Linked DNA regions of Xenopus tropicalis. The protein of the gene in region 1 purifies or fractionates together with the protein of each later gene. This does not show direct contact. Links are inferred from orthologs where the notes say so. Each region holds a gene or a part of one and is shown on either strand. Other genes may lie near its edges.

Evidence for each region. The genes of interacting proteins can lie anywhere in the genome.
Region 2: the proteins of ubxn7 (region 1) and ufd1 purify together in Homo sapiens (affinity purification with mass spectrometry; 3 studies listed by BioGRID and IntAct, with this or other methods). This does not show direct contact. The link is inferred for Xenopus tropicalis from reciprocal best matches to the Homo sapiens genes UBXN7 and UFD1.
Region 3: the proteins of ubxn7 (region 1) and topors purify together in Homo sapiens (affinity purification with mass spectrometry; 4 studies listed by BioGRID and IntAct, with this or other methods). This does not show direct contact. The link is inferred for Xenopus tropicalis from reciprocal best matches to the Homo sapiens genes UBXN7 and TOPORS.

Annotation. Positions count from the first base shown.
Region 1 is NC_030681.2:129,655,995-129,659,191, reverse strand, and holds the end of ubxn7 (UBX domain-containing protein 7), read right to left. Parts: intron 1,230-3,197; coding exon 1,068-1,229; 3' UTR 501-1,067; downstream 1-500. UniProt on the Homo sapiens protein: Ubiquitin-binding adapter that links a subset of NEDD8-associated cullin ring ligases (CRLs) to the segregase VCP/p97, to regulate turnover of their ubiquitination substrates.
Region 2 is NC_030677.2:154,228,754-154,233,025, forward strand, and holds the start of ufd1 (ubiquitin fusion degradation protein 1 homolog), read right to left. Parts: upstream 2,801-4,272; 5' UTR 2,785-2,800; coding exon 2,782-2,784; intron 2,411-2,781; coding exon 2,278-2,410; intron 1,167-2,277; coding exon 1,134-1,166; intron 349-1,133; coding exon 227-348; intron 1-226. Other genes in the region: cdc45 (cell division control protein 45 homolog), read left to right, coding at 3,131-3,181, 3,265-3,324. UniProt on the Homo sapiens protein: Essential component of the ubiquitin-dependent proteolytic pathway which degrades ubiquitin fusion proteins.
Region 3 is NC_030677.2:115,119,616-115,123,817, forward strand, and holds the start of topors (E3 ubiquitin-protein ligase Topors), read right to left. Parts: upstream 2,801-4,202; 5' UTR 2,667-2,800; coding exon 2,607-2,666; intron 655-2,606; coding exon 1-654. Other genes in the region: smim27 (small integral membrane protein 27), read left to right, coding at 3,006-3,050. UniProt on the Homo sapiens protein: Functions as an E3 ubiquitin-protein ligase and as an E3 SUMO1-protein ligase. Probable tumor suppressor involved in cell growth, cell proliferation and apoptosis that regulates p53/TP53 stability through ubiquitin-dependent degradation.

The DNA.
Region 1 (3,197 bases):
GCCCTGAACATTTTCAACACTTGCTGTAATGACTGCATTATTTTATACATAGAGGTATACTGGCTTCTCACTTGGAAGTCATGAGAGAAATTGTAGCGGACTTAAAGAGAAATAATTCTTGAACATATGACTATGAAGATTTTCATTCATACAGGTCATGGTATATCTAGTATAAATAAATCTAAAGCAACTGGACTAGTTAAGTAATCATTGAAGACGTTTCACTACTCATCCAAGCAGCTTCTTCAGTTCAACTGAAGAAGCTGCTCGGATGAGTAGTGAAACGTCTTCAATGATTACTTAACAAGTCCAGTTGCTTTAGATTTATTTATACTAGAAATATTTGAACAATTTCAATGCAGATCATCATTCAGTGTTGTTGTATTCATAAGCTGGAAAGGAACTTGTAATTAAATACAGCACTACGCACTGATGCTTGAAACTTGATACTTTCCAGAGAAATTCCCAGATAAGCATGCACACACCAAATGGAGAGAGGATAAATGTTTCATAGCAAGCTTTACTTTAAAACACAGATTTTCCAACCAACCTCTCAATACAGGAGAGACTAATCCCATAATGCTTGGCTACCAAGTGTGTTAAGGATATTTAAAAAAAAAATTCACCTTATTGGTTCCAAATTAAGGGTAATAAATAACTTATAGTCAATCACAACTGCCATCACCGTTCTTGCCTTTTCACACTCTGGATATGCCTTATAAGAGATCCAAAGAGTCATCCGGAGCTCCCTAAAAAAGGAGATCAGAGCCTGGGTGTATATTGAAGGAGGAATGTGCTCTGAGTCCCCGTGGACTGATGGAGGAATAGATGAAATGCTGTTAAAATTATCATGAGAAGGAGGAGATTTTCTCCCTCACAGTGCAATGATCTTGCCTCTCCTGAGTCACAGTGTTAAATACTCCTCTTTGTTCCCACAATGAGCAAGGAAAATGGGAGGATTTTTCATACATGAACAACTGATGAGGGGAGAAAACAGACTGAGAGGCAGAATCTTATTAGAAGAGGAAAGTGACAGTAGGTAGGGTGATGACACAGCATAGAAGATGCTAATTCCTTTCTTGTACAAAGACAGTTTCTTGTGGACACAAACCAGCTTCTTGTAACGTAATGTCATAGTCCAAGTGGGACAGCTTGCGCCGGGGAAAGTTTGTGAGGAGCTCAAAGCGTTCGTTGGGATAGCCTTTCAGTTGTACATGTCGAACCAATGCCTAAAGGATGACATTTATAAAGAGAAAAGTAAGCAAGAAAAAAAAACTATAATCACAAAATAACGAAAGACTAGAGCATTTAAGAACATAAACACTTACAGCCAGATATCACTAATATATATTTAGACAAAATGGTGTGACTGCTCAAAGCAGCATGAATTAGGTATTATCTAGAATGTCAAACATTTTCCAGACATGAAAGTTTTTTTTTTTTTTTACAAGAAAACAGAATGACCATCTATCATAAAAGTGCATAAAAGGTCCATCTGAAATCTTCATATATTATATATGACCAGCATCTGTTTAAAAGCATGCTACAGAATGCATTGGCTGCAACACATCTCTGAGCAGCAGGAATGCAATTATTATCTACACTTTAGAAATCCTATACCATAATCTGTATTCTATATAACGTACACACAAATATACAGTATGTTTATAACTTTTCATTAGTTAATAGTTGTTGTAGACCTAGCCTTGCTTAGGTCTCTCTAACTTCCAGAGACACCTTTAAATAAGCTGGACTTAAAGTAGACATATTGGATAAATGGGAAAAAAAGGTAATTTTGTAGGCAATTATGAATAATATCCGGTGCTGGTTTCACTTTGGGCTAAAAATTAACCCTATCTGTAACAATGGCCCCTTTATTGGAGCTCCCTATAGATCCTCTCACTTCTCTGTCCGAGTTTGAAATGAAGAGTGGGCGTGTCCTAACGGTCCCTGCCAGAAGCACAGTAGGAGGGGGAGAGCCAATCACAGCCCTGCACTCACACAAGCAAAGACAGGCTTTAGTTCCCTATCAGGTCAGCCTAGCTGCTGATTGGTTCCTATCCTACAGTGCAGGGTACGGAGGGCCGCCGGCTCCCCAGCTCATCCAGAGAATTCAGCCAGCAGGAAGTGGAACAGATGGGCAGGGCTAGTGGGGTTTTTGTGGAATTTCTCAATAAATCGGTCAGAAACACAACTTTTTTTAAGCACAATCCTTCTATATCTAGAGGAGTATAATTCCCTGGTACATTCATAATTTTTATAGGATATGTCTCCTTTAAGCAAGGGTACCTGAAATACTTTACTCGTGGCGGATTGGCTACAGGAGCATTTTTTGCCTGGCAATACACAGTCACAGGTCATCCTGCATAAATCTCTCTTAGTGTAAACTTGTGGGATCCACAACAGACACTTTCTTCACTTTAACACAGGGGTGACCATTTCAGCATAAAACCCACAAATCATAAAAATAAATCCTGCCTCTGGGCTTTACCTTCACACATTTGACGAGTTCGCTCACTACACTGGGCCACTTGTGGACTACCAGTAAGAAAACACTAATGGTTGGGATCACCCCAGTACTCACAATACTTCTTACTCAGCTTCCTAACTTTCGCAGTTCCTCGGTAACTCTCAGTTGCTTGGCCATGGCTCCCTCCGCTCCTTGCCGTGGCAGGCAGCACCCCCAAGCCCCTCTGGGAGTTCCTAACACAGACAGGTAGGTTTCCTGCTTTGTGTCCCTGCACTGAGAGATCTTACACACATTCTTCATACAATTAAATACCTTTCCACAGGTCAGCCTTCCTGTGGAAAGTGAGCTCCAGTATGTGAGCTGGACTAGTGGAATGGATCGCCTGGTTTACTTATGGTCCCAAAAGTGCCATTAACAATTATCACTATTTATCACTTATGTATCCCAAATGCAGGTAACCTACAGTGTTTCTGCTGATACCAAAGGATACATACTAGTGACATGTAGGGTGTGCTTTAAACACTTCTGTAAGTAAACATGTTTAAAGTAAAGTCCACTTTAATAAAGGCTTTATGTATGAAAAAAACAAATAGCAACCGCTTGCTTTTCAAGTTTTGCAAACTACAGCTCCCAACAGAATTTAAAAGCTTCAGGATTTTAGGGGATGCTGCAAAATGTAGTTCAGAGCTACCAAAAAGCAGCAGGTTTAGTCGTAACAAGAATGCAG
Region 2 (4,272 bases), on another chromosome or scaffold:
ACGGTGGCTTAGTGGTTAGCTGTGCTGCCTTGCCATGCTAGTGTCCCCAGTTTGAATCTCACTTCTCATTTGTGTGGGGTTCCTCCAGATACTCTGGGTCTCTCTCACATTTGAAAACATACAGGTAAAGTGTACATTCCTTAAAAGGTTTTTGGGGTACAATTCTGGGTCAGGTGTGGGATTGTATGCACCTGTGTAATGTGTAAGTTTTGTAAATATTCCTTACCCAATGAGGCAAGTAACATATGCCTTCATCTGCAACAAATTCAAGAACACCGCAATGTGTCATCCTGTCAGAATTTTTATTGGTCAGCTTGAAGAGCATGGGGTAAGTAATGTTCAAACGACCTGTAGAAAATAAATATGATAAATTGGTAACTGCGCTGTTACCTTTTGTGCCACAGTAGCTCTATTTTTACAATAAAACTAATCTGATTTTGAAACAAATACACAGGTTCTCTAGCATCAGCTTTTAAAGATTTGTATTTCATTTGGAAAAAGTAATGTTAACATATCAAAGAGAATGCATCCACAGAAAATCCACGGTAAGCAGTCACACTGTTTTTCACAATACTACCTGCTGTAGACAGATCAGCTTTGGAAAATTGTGACATTTTCATGTACACCTTTATCAGCCGGTTTAGAATGTGTGCCCCTGTCACTTCTTTGCTCAGTCAAAGGGTAAGTAAAACCCAACGGACTCTGGTATATGCCATTATTATGCCAGAATTACAAACAGCATAAGTGTAGCGATGCAGCAGGCATATTTCCCTGGTAATGCTGAGGCAGAAGTGTTTGGGCCCTCTGATGCACTAAGGCTAATGCCACACGGGCGTATTTTTGGCAAGCTGAAAAACGTTTGCCGAGAATACGCCCTGCTACTGTCGATTTGGCCTACCTTGTGCCTGCACCCGAATGAATGGAATACGCTCCAAGACTTCATATTTTCGGCTACATGTTCCTGCACCGTATCGTATTTCATTCATTAGGGTGCAGGCACAGGTAGGGGCATTTTTTAGCGTATGGTGCGTATTCTTAGCAAGTGTTTTTTGGCTTGCCGAAAATACGCTCCATATGCTACATGTGGCGTTAGCCTAAGATTTAATCAAGTAATCCAGGCAGAGCATACTTACTGAGTTGATCTAAAGCAGATGGAGGCATGATAACTGAAAAAAAGAAGAACAAGAAAAGTTACAGTAGTATAGTCTGTGACACACCATACACTATACACATTACTTCCAGTGACCCTTTTTCAAAAATGAATAAAGAATCACTGAAAGTGCTCCACTTTTTAAAGACTGAATTATCTCCTTTGACTAGAATTTTTGTTTTTCCTCACTCATGAAAGGACCAGTAAAACAAAAAACAAGAAAAGGTTTTATCTGTATGTAAATATAATATACTATTACCCTGCACTGGTAAAAAGTGTATGTTTGCTTCAGAAACACTACTACAAGTTATATGAAGTATATGGCACAACCAAAAGAATAGGGTAAAAAGGCACACATCTACACAGCAGAGTACAATGGTGCTGTTTTTACACAGCATAATAAACATGGGTCAAATGCCATTCATTCTTTCTACAGAACAATTGATTGAAAACCTCTTATATAATATAGAACCTATAATACTTAATGCTCAGGACCAGGGGTTTTTCCTGTACAAGCGGTCATTGTGTAATTTGGATCTTCATGCCTTAAGTCTGCTCAAAATGTATTTAAACATAATATACCAAATAGGATTGTTTTGTCTCTAATAAGGTTTGATTATATCCTAGTTGGGATTTAGTACAAGTACTGATTTATTACAGAGAAAAAGGAAATTATTTTCTTAAATTTTAATTATTTAATTAAAATGCAGCCTATGGGCCTTGCCGTAATTTAGAGCTTTCTGGATAACAGGTTTCCGGATAACGGATCACATACCTGTACTGGATATGTGTGGCCAAGAATTACCATTGTGTCCACTTTCCACATCCTGTACAGTTTGCATGATGGTACATGATGATAACAGAGATCTCATGACCTGTGACCAGGCCTGGACTGGCAATGTGTGGATTCTGGCAAATTCCAAAAGGACTGCTGTTAGATGCCATAGACAAGCACTATTTAGTGAACTAGCAGGGGCCTTGAAATGCAAGGGCATATATTAAATCCCAGTCTGCTTGTGGCCCACAAAAAAGTGGTCTAGTTTATGATTATTAGATATTATTACCTATGTTTAAATAATTTTATCTTGAAAAAATTACAGTACAGCTCTTAGTCACATATTACTTACTTTTCCCTCCTTTCTCCACATCAGATCGGTCATTGGGACCCGCCAACATGGAAACGGAGTAGCAACGGTACTGAGTAGAGAAGCGGTTTTGGAAAACCCGGGGTATGGGGTGGTCAAACATGTTGAAAGAAAACTAAAAGAGAATGGAATTAGTGAGATTTTGGAGCTGTTATTTCATTAAGCAACATAAAGATACATCGTGATAATTTGAGAAATTCTTTTTTACTTTGTTTTTACCCTTTTAGTGTTATTTAAGTGATCTGTAAAAACAAAAACTATTACGGAAACATACATTCAGATTAAAATCATACTGTTATTTTTCATGTAAAAAAAATCTTACATACAACAACTCTTCTTTCCCATCCAAGATGCATATAGCAGTAAAAAACTAACCCCTCAGTCACTGTTCAGCCTCCATAAAACCTGGCAGGTAAATGGTGTTTTATGATGATATATAGGTATACATGACATGACGCTATCACAAATGTGGAAGACAGATCTTACCATTTTGTTACCGGCTTTCTCTTATTATCCCGGCGGACCTAACACTATCTTAGTCACCGTCCTTCCCGGAAGTAAATATAATTGCGAATCAGACGATCGGAACAAGAGAAACTACGAATCCCAAGAAGCAACACGCTAAAAGCGGAAGTTAATAGACCGCTGTCAGATATCGGGAAGCGACCAATTGGCTGCTAAACTGTAGGACGCAGAGGCGGGGTTTATCTTGCGCTGAGCCTTCACGGATTGGGCGGGGTTGGTGTATGTCACGACGAAACGGGCTGTTTGATTGGCCACCGCTGCTCTAAGGGATTTTGGCGCCAGTTTCGAGGGCAGCCGTCAACTTGTCGAGATGTTTGTGAGTGATCTCCGTAAAGAGTTTTACGACGTGATCGTTACCGAGGTGAGAAGGGTAACCGGGATAAAGGATTTTTTTTCCCAAATAAATGATATGACACCACTCACTGTCTCTTCTCTGATTTCCAGCGCGTTCTTCTCCTTGTTGCACCTGATGTTGATGCTCTCTGCGCCTGTAAGGTACTTCAGGTAAGAACAAACCAAAATTAAGTTTTTTTTCAACAATTTAAATCACCATACCTACTTAAAACAACATGTAACTATGAAATAAAGCCAATAGGATTGCTTTATCACTAACAAGTTTTTATGCAGCTTAGTTGCTGTAAAGTACAAGATACTGTTTTATTACAGAGAAAATGTAATTAAAAAAAAAGATTTTGCATAAAATTGACAATGGGAGATTTCTGCATATCTGGTTTCCATTAAACTCACAGTGCCCCTTGCACAGATCCGACAGTATAAACACTTCATCCCCACATATAAAGCTGGTCATACCACCTAGTTTGCCAAATGAGTGGATCTTTGTCCCATATGTCACAGCACCACACTGATTGTTAGGCCTTCGACCAATGATTGGATCATAATGGCTGCTAATGCAGGCTGTTGGGAGAGGTCCACATCAATACGTATGTGGTGCTCTTCCCAATGGGTTTTTTTTTTTTTCTACACTGCCTAATATGTTGGCCAGGTAAATATCAGGGATGAAGTCGGAGAGGACCCATGTACCGGTAAATACAACTTATTTTATTTCCCACCAGATAATGTGCATGGTACCAACAGTGTTGCAGCTCTTGAACCATTTAGGGTCTGCTACTAAAACACTGTTACTAAAACAATGTAAAGTGTACTAGTGAGTATAAGTTACCAATGATAGAAAAACCTAGAAAGAAGGATAAATATTTCATTTCTGAAATCTGAACACTTGCCCCAAGTTGGTTCTATTATTCCTCCATCTCCAGCCTTTTGCCCAAATGAAAACATTTTATAGTGTAAAATTCTTGTGAAAGTTTTGCATTTGCTACATATAAATAGTGCATCTGTGTAATGGTGGATACTATGATTTAACTTTTATTTTTACCATAACTACGTAGTCATATTTTTTGGTTTTGGTCAAATGCACCTTAGAAGTTTAGTCCA
Region 3 (4,202 bases), on another chromosome or scaffold:
ATCTCTATAACGTCCGCCATCCTGAATGTTTCTCACACGTATTCCAGACCGGTACAAAGCTCTTCTGAAGTTAATGAGTTCTTGCTCTTGAATTTGCCTCATAGAACGACCCTCTGCACTGGCTTGTCGTCTGGAGGCTAGCCTTCTTATCATCTGGTGGATTTCTTCACCTCTTTGATGTAAATTCTGATTTGAAAACCCTTCAAATAAAATTCCATTGTCAGGAGGTGAAAATGTCCTTTGAGTGCTTGAAGACCTTAATGTCCGAATGGCTACATGATTGTCTCTACTCATAGTTGTGCGATAACGAAATCTATGTCCATCAGGACTGGCAAATGAACCATTCATTGTGGGCCTCAAGACATATTCTTTAAAATCATCCTCTGCTTTGACACTATGGAAAATGGAGTAAAAGGGCTGTTTGCATAGAGGGCATTCAGCTTTGTTTTTTGCCCATTCTTGAATGCAACGGAAACAAAATCTGTGCAGACATCGATCAAGATGTGACACATTATCAAACCTGTCCAAACATATTGGACACTTTGAGTCTGGGGAAGCATCTGTTGCAGTACCATGGTTTTGTAGTTTGCTTGTGCCAGCCTGGGGTGAAAAGCTGCCATCTAGTGAATAATTGTTAGAGGATGATGCCATCATCTAAAAAAGAAGAAAAACACATATTAAATTTTACAGTACTAGTCTTATTTGGTAAACTTATACATTATATGCAAAAGCTAAATAAATGTGATAATGCATCCCTACTCTTCGTGACGCTAAATGATATTATTATACGGTATCTCTTTGCACTGTATCTTAAGGGGTAGTTCAACTTAAAATTAACTTTTAGCATGATAACCTAAATTTTTTTTTATGAATTGTGGTTCGTGAAATATTTCCATAATTTATCCTGTAACTTTAAGACATAGAAATTTCAACAATTTGCAACTAGTCTTCATTTTTTTTTTTGTTAACTGTGGTTTTTCGGTTATTCCATTTTTTGTTCAGCAGCTCTCCAGTTTGGAATTTTAGCACCTATCTAGTTGCTAGGGTCTAAATGACCCTACAACAAGGCAGTAATATTATTGAGACACAGAGATGAATAGGAGAGGCACGAATAGGAAGATACGTAATAAAAAACACCAATAAGTTGTAGCCTCACAAAATGCTTTTTGGCTGCGGGGGACAGTGACCCACTTTTGAAAGCTAGAAAGAGTCAGAAGAAAAAAGGCAAAACATTTAAAAGCTATACAAAATGAAAAATGAAGACGAATTGAAAAGTTACTAAGAACTGGCCATTCTACAGGTATTGTACCTCTTATCTGGAAACCCCTTATCCTGAAAGTTCCGAATTACAGAAAGGCCTTCTGCCATAGGTTTCATTTTAATCAAATCATTAACATTTTTAAAAAATGATTTCCTTTTTCTCTGTAATAATAAAACAGTACCTTGTACTTGATCCCAACTAAGATATAATTAATCCTTTTTGGAGCAATCCTACTGGGTTTAATTACTGTTTTAATAATTTTATTAGCAGACTTAAGGTAGGGGATCTGAATTATGAAAGGACCCCTTATCCAGAAAACCCCAGGCCCAAAGCACTCTGGATAATGGGTCCCATACCTGCATAACATACTAAAAGGTAACACTGTAGGTGAGAATTTGTTGGAGACATAATATACAGACAGGTAAAAAAGGAACAGACGTACAGATGAATTCTAATTCAGCAAAAAAATGGGCTTTCAATGGTTTAGCCTGCATTCGGTTGTAGTAGGGATCTATGAATGTATAGACACATTAGGATCAATAAGACTATTTTAACCAGCCACTAAAGTAATGGAAACCATGGAGTTTCAGGTTTAAAATAAATATGCTGTGGCTGTACGCTGGGGTGTTCTATAACATTAAAAATGAATGTAAAGGTGAATAACCTACTGTGACCTACAGCACTTATATTTGCCTATTTGTGTCTGTTAGTTACCCTCCCATATAGATTGTAAGCTCTACGGGGCAGGGACCTCCATCCTCTTGTGTCCTCGACTCTTAACTTATTGCAGCTGTATTTATCTGTATTTATTATTATACTTTGTATTTATCTATTATCTTATTAACCTCCTGTTTGTATTAATGTATTCTACTGTACAGCGCTGCGTACATAATAAGCACTTTAGAAATAAAGATATATATACATACATACATACAACCTTATTAAGTTTTCCCACTGGTGTTATGAACCTACAGGGGTACCCAGAAAGTACTTTCTCCTGCACGTCCCTCTGCAGAGATGAAAAGCCCAGCCTACATAGGAGCCAAACATATACAAACCCAACTGAATCTCTGGTGTCAGCAAGCAATTGTGTGTTAGCGAGACAGCCCTAGATAAGCAAGGGGACAGCTGCCATATAAATACAGAAGCAGAAGTATACAGTGTGGTGGCGGTGTTGGAAAGAACACTATTATTACTATTACACCAAGGGTCCCGGTAAAATATTAATACAACTACTGGAAGGTAAAGAAAAACCGAGCCACCGATGAAACCTATAAGGCCGATTATGACAGCGGGTATAGTTCGGGGACGCAGTCACTCCAGTTTATACACAAACATATCTTACCGTGTCATTCGCTTCTTGCCTCGCTCCCGGCCTCCGCCGCTTGGTTCTCTTCTCCCTCATGGCGTGACCGTAAGCCGGGTCTCAAACCCGCGATATAGTCCCCGGACTTCCAGGCAATGCTTTCATTGATACCATTCGTGTTACACAATTCTACCCTCTCACCCCGCCCGGTACACTGTAAAGTCAGAGAAGGGAGGCATTCTGGGACAGGGAAAGTTCACTCTATATTCTACATAGCTAGCGCCCCCTAGCAGCCAGGAGGTCTGCCTGAAACGGATGTTGTCGAGCTTACGCTTAGCTCGTACAGGATGTGGTGGTGTTGCTATAGTAACGTAGAGGCGGAGCAAGGAATCATTGCTTGAATGATAGTTTACTGCGATAGAACGACCTCCAGTAACCATGATTTTAATAAGCAAGAGAGCAGTAGAATGGATTTATTCTCTGGTAAGGAAATCTGTATAATATATGATTGAATGAGTTACATGGCTTACGTCACGTAAAGGTATCATGTGTATTTTATGGTAAGGTTACCAGATTGTGTGAACGTCTGTGATACTTACTTGGTAAGTTTCACTATTTAAAGTCAATTAGTACAGCCCGGCAGCTTGTTTCTTATACTTGATGATCTGTTATCTATATATGACATACATCTCTCACACTAAGGACTAAGTTTTACATGAGGTAGTTATGTGCATGCCTATTTCCCAGTAGCACCCAGTCATCAAGCAAATTGCAGCCTCTCTCTTTGCTAAATATTATTATTATTCAATCAGCTCCAACATGCACTAGTGGGACTTGCCCCACTCCAAGACTGAAATAATAATCAGTTTATCTGTGCCCAACACAACTGCCCAACCATTTAGCTGTATATATTGGTTGCTTTTTTTTTTGTAAAATACAGTTTTTAACACCATACTCTATCAGCATATGCTTAGGTGTTTAGATGTTAGCACACAAGAAATTATATATATATATATATATATATATATATATATATAAGTATATGTAATTTCATCCCAGTATTTTGATAGTTACATCGTGTTGAAAAAAGACCAGAGTCCATCAAGTTCAACTCTTCCAAGTAAACCCAGCACACACAACCTATACTTACCATAACACATACATAAACTATATATACAAACATTAATACTAACTGTAGATATTAGTATCACAATAGCCTTGGGTACTATGCTTGTTCAAGAACTCATCCAGGCCCCTCTTAAAGGCATTAACAGAATCTGCCATTACCACATCACTAGGAAGGGCATTCCACAACCTCACTGCCCTCAGTGAAAAACCATCTACGCTGCTTCAAATGGAATGGATTTCTTCTGGTTATTATTTATCATAAATGTATTGCAAACAACATGGCTACCAGCACAAACAGTAGCCTTCCAAAATTCCAATGTGTACAAAGCTAGCAACTTATTTATAGATTGGATCACAAGAGAGGTAAAGGCATAACCTGTCAGAGGCTGGCCCATTAAATCATACATCGGAGAAGTGCAGATAGTGACCAGCAATCATTTTTTTTTCTTAATTTCCAAGTTTAATAGTGAGGTAAATCACTCAGGAACCCTAATACAGAAAACTGAC